Mytilus edulis: one gene and its partner. The protein of the gene in region 1 interacts with the protein of each later gene in a pairwise test. Links are inferred from orthologs where the notes say so. Each region holds a gene or a part of one and is shown in the gene's direction. Other genes may lie near its edges.

The links. The genes of interacting proteins can lie anywhere in the genome.
Region 2: the proteins of vam6/Vps39-like protein (region 1) and proteasome subunit beta type-5-like interact in a two-hybrid assay, tested with the Caenorhabditis elegans proteins (2 studies listed by BioGRID). The link is inferred for Mytilus edulis from reciprocal best matches to the Caenorhabditis elegans genes vps-39 and pbs-5.

Annotation. Positions count from the first base shown.
Region 1 is NC_092346.1:54,794,326-54,798,086, reverse strand, and holds the start of vam6/Vps39-like protein, read left to right. Parts: upstream 1-1,369; 5' UTR 1,370-1,503; coding exon 1,504-1,576; intron 1,577-3,761. UniProt on the Caenorhabditis elegans protein: Plays a role in vesicle-mediated protein trafficking to lysosomal compartments including the endocytic membrane transport and autophagic pathways.
Region 2 is NC_092348.1:49,873,450-49,877,210, reverse strand, and holds the start of proteasome subunit beta type-5-like, read left to right. Parts: upstream 1-1,295; 5' UTR 1,296-1,324; coding exon 1,325-1,462; intron 1,463-3,761. UniProt on the Caenorhabditis elegans protein: Component of the 20S core proteasome complex involved in the proteolytic degradation of most intracellular proteins. This complex plays numerous essential roles within the cell by associating with different regulatory particles.

The DNA of each region.
Region 1 (3,761 bases):
GTTTTGGAGCAACTGAAGGCCCAAAAAGCTATAGAACAAATGATGAAAAATCATGCTTTTTGGGTGTTCCCCATACCCCCTTTCTTAATCTGAAAATGCAAGTTCTATTTTAATAATTTTTTGACCATATTTTGGTCTCAAAGCAAAATGTATTAATTCAGTGTAAGACTTAAGTTTCTAAGGACAACACCAAAAGACCAATATGCATTAAAAGCAAACATGTTATTCACATAGTTAAGTCTGTGGCTTCTGGTTTTTTTTTTAAATCATGATCAAGTTAAGAACAAAATTACTAAATTACAAAAGGAATACAACACTAACAGGATACAGAAGGGCAATCAATGAACAAAAGACAAATAAAAAAGAAACATTGATCCCGAAAAATCAGGGGCTACGTCTGAGGGAGAACATAACTTCCTTCTTGCAAGGCATTCCTTGTGATCACAATTTGATATGGAGTTGAGCGTTTGGTTTTGAAATTTCCTACATTGTAGTTACTGCCCTGTAATAAAAGTGAGGTAAGTGTTCCTGAGTAAATATACCTAAAGTTAAATGAAACTAATTTTCAGACGTTTCCAGTATATTTAAATAATATTTATACTTTTATTATTAAAAGATTAGGGAAGTGTTTCCCGATTTAAAAAAAAAGAAGATGAATTTATGAAGAATCTGATGCCATCCTATACTTTCAATTAGACCTACTGAGTTATTTATTTTTTCAATACTGTGATTGCAAGTCAGGTAATTTATTTTCAAACTACCACAGAACAAAAACCATTCATTTTTTGTGATTATCAAGGCTGAGTTTATATTCATTTTCAAAATCCTCCTGCCCCCCCCCCCCCCCCCCCCCCCCCCCTCCCCAGAATATCAAATTGTTGTCCCCTTATTATGAGCAAAATATAATTATGAAAAAATTAAACATATGCACATTTACATATGCAAAAAAGCTGTACAAAATTTCTCTGGCCTCCTATATATACCTTTGAGTTTTGGAGTTTTTGCGCTTGTAAATATTATTGACTGTCCGACGGACTCACAGACTTAATAAAAACTATAGGGATCCTTTATCCTCTCAGGGTTTCCCAAATATTGGCCAAATTAAGAATAGATAAAATGGCTTATAAAATTTATGAATAAAGAATTAAAGGACCCCTCTCAAGGAGTCGGTTTTCCCAAAAAAAATCTTACAACTAAGATTGATCGTAAGTCATGAACAATTCAGTATACTTGAAAATTTATAAGATAAATCTTAGTCTTAAGTTTTTTTTTGTGAAACTGACTCCAGACACTCATTTGTCTAAATGTATGTGTTAAGCCAATTTAGACCGTTCTTGTCTATGTTCAAGATGGTTACTTTTGGTTTTTAGTGATTTGAGAACTCTTCTCTGTTGGAGACTTGAAATGATTATCACATGAAAAGTAGCAGTAGATGTTTTTTTAGCTGAATTTTGCAACAAAATGCCATAGATTCACTGTATATTTGTGCCATAAATCGTCGTGATGCACGACGCATATGAGGCCATATCACTTCTTGAAAAACTACCGTTAAAAATCGAATCTATAACGTGCCATGGTATGACATGATTTATTTCCTGGGATTTCCTGTTCAATATTTATTGACAGTGTGACATGTTTAGTTAATTTTAAGATGAATCTTCACAATACTTACAAAAATAACTTTCAGATTTAAATAAACACATTCACTTCATATTCCCCCTAAATGTATTTATATGAATTTGATAAAGAGTACGTGATGAGTGCAATTTTTAAGTCTACAGACTGCTTTGATATCTGCTTTCAAGCAATCTGTAGACTTATACCATTGACTCAGGGCTCTATGCCCTCACATCAACCGTTTTATTCTAAACATTCAGCAAAATCTCAGATTCTTATGAAAAGGTAAAAACAAGCAAAAGGATTGAACTTAAACAACTTTCCTGTAATGTTCTTCTCATAATCTTTATGTTTGATATTTCCCTTGACTTATATGCATGTTTTTAACAACACAGAAAATCAGAATTAAGCAGTATATATATTTAGTGTTTTTATAAATTTAGAAACACATCGGAGGGAATTCCCCAGTTTTGATAAATGCGAGAGTTTTCTGAATTCGGATAATTCTATTTCTTTCATATAATAGAATTGAGAATGGAAATGGGGAATGTGTCAAAGAGACAACAACCCAACCAAATAAAAAACAACAGCAGAGGGTCACCAACAGGTATTCAATGTAGCGAGAAATTCCCGCACCCGGAGGCGTCCTTCAGCTGGCCCCTAAACAAATATATACTAGTCCAGTGATAATGAACGCCATACTAATTTCCAAATTGTACACAAGAAACTAAAATTAAAATAATACAAGACTAACAAAGGCCAGAGGCTCCTGACTTGGGACAGGCGCAAAAATGCGGCGGGGTTAAACATGTTTGTGAGATCTCAACCCTCCCCCTATACCTCTAACCAATGTAGAAAAGTAAACGCATAACAATACGCACATCAAAATTCAGTTCAAGAGAAGTCCGAGTCTGATGTCAGAAGATGTAACCAAAGAAAATAAACAAAATGACAATAATACATAAATAACAACAGACTACTAGCAGTTAACTGACATGCTAGCTCCAGACTTCAATTAAACTGACTGAAAGATTATGATTTCATCATATGAACATCAGGCACAATCCTTCCCGTTAGGGGTTTAGTATCATACCATCATAACATATATGAGAAGAACATAACCCGTGTCATGCCAACAACTGTTTTTAGAATAAATGTGTTTAGTTCCGATGCAAAGACCTTATCAGTGACTCAATATTAACGCCAAAATATGCAATCTTTAATGACTTGACAACAGTATCGTAATTATATCCCTTCTTAATAAGTCTATTCAAAGGTTTTGTAAGTTTCTGAGGTGAATACTGACACCTTTGTGCTTTATAAAGAATATTTCCATAAAAAATCGGATGTGAAATACCTGAAAGTATTAGAAGTCTGCATGTTGAGCTATATTTACGAATGATGTCTTTATACCGATGATAAAATTTAGTAAATGTTTTGACTAGTTTGTGATATCGAAAACCCTGGTGTAATAATTTTTCAGTAATACATAAATTTCTCTCGTTAAAATCTAAAACATTGTTACATACACGAGCGAATCATACAAGTTGAGATATATAAACACCGTAAGATGGTGACAAGGGAACGTCACCATCTAAAAACGGATAATTAACGATAGGAAATGAAAAATCGTCTCTTTTATCATAAATTTTAGTATTCAGCTTTCCATTAGTGATATAGATATCAAGATCGAGAAAAGGGCAGTGGTCATTGTTAGTATTAGCTTTATTTAAAGTAAGTTCAACAGGATAAATTTCATTAATATACATACTGAAGTCGTCATTATTGAGAGCCAAAATATCATCCAAATATCTAAAAGTATTATTAAATTTGTTTATCAGATGTTGTTTCGATGGGTCTTTGCTTATTTTTGTCATAAATTGTAACTCATAACAATACAAAAACAGGTCCGCAATAAGTGGTGCACAGTTAGTCCCCATTGGAATTCCGATAATCTGACGATATACAGAATCCCCAAAGCGAACAAAAATGTTATCTAGTAAAAATTCAAGGGCATATATAGTATCAAAGCATGTCCAATTAACATAGTTTTTTTGTTTATTGCTACTAAAAAATGACCTAAAAGAGTTTGAACATATATATTCACATTCTGATTTTTTGAATGCCCATTTAATTAGGTGTGT
Region 2 (3,761 bases), on another chromosome or scaffold:
TGTATAACTCTGAGATTTGGTATATGGATTTTTATGAAAAAATAATAAGAGCTGAAAGACGAGCACAAATTAGAGACATGAGTAAATTTGATATTCTAGCAATGATTGATAGTAGCCAAGTGAAGAAGACACATTAAAAATTTTGCAAATATATACTGGGACTTAGTAAACAATCTGTCAATATTGCTGCAAGAGCAGAACTAGCTCAGTATCCCATAGATGTCTTTATTAAAGTACAGTCATTGAAGTACTTAGCAAGAATTTCTAGTGATGAAAATAACCCTTTATTATATGATGCTTTCTGTTTATCTTAATGGCTTAGCACTAACGGTATATTTTCATGGTTCTCATATGTAGAAAATATAGCCAATGTAAATAAATTAAACATAAATAAAATACAGGATATAAACTATAAGCAAGAGAAGCTAGAGTTCATTCTCAATTTTTTTTAAAAAAGAACTAAAAGATAGCTTTGAAAATATTTGCTTTGAAAAATTAAAATTAACTAATGAAACCAGTAAAATATTCTTGTACAGTAAAATAAAAACAAAATATGAAATATACAAATACATTTCTAAAAATAGTTTTGAAAATATAAAATTATTATGTAAAATGCGAGTAAGTGACCATTTCTTGGAAATAGAGAGGGGTAGATATAAAGAATTCAAAGAGAAAATAAAATATGTAAACATTGTAATATAAATGCGGTTAAAAATAAAACCCACTTTTCTTAAAATGTAAAATTAATAAATCTTTACGTAATCAGCTTGATAGACAGGCATAGATTACCTTAGCTGTATTTGACACAACTTTTTGGAATTTTGGATCCTCAATGCTCTTTAACTTTGTTCTTGTTTGGCTATATAAATATTTTGATATGAGCGTCACTGATGACTCAATTATACATGTAGCCGAACGCGCGTCTGGCGTACTTGAAATTATAATCCTGGTACCTTTGATAACTATTGACTAGTTTGTGATATCGAAAACTGGTGTAATAATATAATACAATATATAGAATAATAGAAAATTAGAGTTCAATTATAAATGTATGTAAAAAAAAAAATGTAATACATGTCGGTATAATAAAATCGAGTATTGATTTCCCCGGAAAATATACGTCTTCACCGTCGTACATTTTGTTATTTATTTATGACCAGCTGCCTTTGTCAAACAAGAAAATCATTATTGTCTTGATACTTTTAAGATGAAATGATTTTTTTGCTTTTGCTAAAATTGAATATAAAAAAACTTTAAGAATTTAGTATTTGTTATTCATCAATATCATTTTCCAAATATATTTACTGCAGACACTAAAAACAAAATGGCACTTGCTGGAGTCTGTGGATTTCAACAAAATGTTTCAAAGAGTCCTTGCACGCTTGGAAACGGAATTAGCGAAAATCTTATAGATGGAGCTATTCATTCATCTCATAACTTTACTATGCCTAGTAATTTTGATGTATGAATTATTTAATAATAACTAATTTGTTAAGAAAACAACACTTTTAGTCAATTTTGCAAAATCACTGTAAAAATGGTAAATGACTGAGTGGTTTTTTTCAAGTTTGGCACATATATAATAAAGAAAGATAATATTTCTAGTTTTACATGAATATTCGAATTTACACGAGCATCCATACTTGCACTACAGTTCTAAATTGAGTAGAGCACGATTAATTTAAGGGGGAGGGTCAATGGTCGAATACAGGTCCATTCGCACAAATCATGTTTGTTCCTATATTATTGTTCACCCCTATCTCATTTGTACCCACATGTTTACAACCTTTTAAAGGGTTTTGTTGTGAATAAGTTTTTATGGTGCACTAGCATGTTTAGTGAGTGAACATGGTGAATTGCTAAAAAATAAAGAAAATTAGTTTTTAGTCCCCGACCGCCAAATTAAAGTAGAAGGAGACTTTAGGCTTGAACTATGTCTGTCTGTCCATCTGGAAGTCCAGCAAATCAGTTTTCCACACTTTTTTCTTCCTGCTTGAAGATATTGATTTGATATTTGGTGTATTGTTTTACTATGACATACAGATCAAGACGAAGTATGATGTTAACTTCTGATCTGAATAATTGGTGCAGAGTTATGGTCCTTGGGCTCGGAAAATTCACTCAGTAATCAGTTTTCTGCACTTTTTTTCATCATGCTTAAAGATATTGATAAGATATTATAGGTGTATTATTTTATCATGACAAATTTTAACATTTTAAGTTTGAATTTTTTTCCAGTCTGATTTTGTTATGAGATTTACATGATCATATTTTAAGGAAAAGAATTTTTTTTTTGGGAAAAAGGGGAGGTGAATTTTTTTTAGGAGAATTTGGGGGGATTTGCTTATTTCAAATTTCTGAAATTTAAAAGAAAATTATTTGTTTTGGCAAAAAGGGTGGGTGGGGGTCAATATGCAACAGCATAGTGTAAGAGGGTTTTGGATGGGGTTAAATGGTTAAAGAATAATGCCCTTAAAGAATGAAGATTAGAGAAAAACGGGCAAAAAAAATGAAGATTAGAGAAGAAAGGGGTTAATTTTTTGACGATTAGAGAAAAAAGGGGTTAATTTTTGAAGATTAGAGAAAAAAGGGGTCAATTTTTTTAAGATTAGAAAAAAAAGGGGTGATAATTAAATGTTTACAGAATAACAGTCCTGGCCTGTATCAAGCGTGAATATTGTGTTCATTTTTGCCCCAGCTGTTCAGGGTTGGAGTTGGACCCCTGCGGTCGTATCCAGCTGTGCTCAGCGAGGCATTTCATTTCCTTGAAAAGTATTGCTTTAACTCTGACCATACTCTACATCAAATCACTTTTAACATTTTCTGGTGACTCTCCCTGTCCAAAATCATGCATTTCCATTAATCTGACAATCTTGTGAAGAATATAAAGGCTCTAATTACTGACAATGACAGAGCAAAAGAAAATCTTCCCTAGCTCAAACAGTAAGACTACTTTTATATCTGTATTGTACAACACTGTTCCTCCATATGAACACATAGAACCTTTTTAATGTTTATAAGTTTGGATAAGATGGCAGGATCGGCCAGGAGAGGTATTAACGTGTCTTGAAAGTCAATAATTTGATATGTTGTAAGTGCTACAAATGTATATTTTTGTATGTAAAAGTGATTGATTTTAACTAATTATTGGGTGTGTCCTGTAACTTTGTTTCGTAATTGTAAGAAAATGCATGTTCAAAATGTTTTCATTTGATCAAATGTAGATTCCAGAAAATTTCAGTTACATGTTCATGTATGCAAATCGTATGATGAAATCATAATCTTTCAATCAGTTTAGTTGAAGTCTGTATTGTATTATTATTATTATTGAAGTATTATTGTCATTTTGTTTATTTTCTTTGGTTACATCTTCTGACATCAGACTCAGACTTTTCTTGAACTGAATTTTAATGTGCGTATTATTACATGTATGCGTTTACTCTTTTACATTGGCTAGAGGTATAAGGGGAGGGTTAAGATCTCATAAACATGTTTATTAATAACCCCGCTGCATTTTTGCGCCTGTCCCAAGTCAGGAGCCTCTGGCCTTTGTTAGTCTTGTATTATTTTAATTTTAGTTTCTTGTGTACAATTTGGAAATAAGTATGGTGTTCATTATCTCTGAACTAGTATATATTTGTTTAGGGGCCAGCTGAAGGACCCCTCCGGGTGCGGGAATTTCTCGCTACATTGAAGACCTGTTGGTGACCTTCTGCTGTTGTTTTTTCTATGATCAGGTTGTTGTCTCTTTGACACATTCC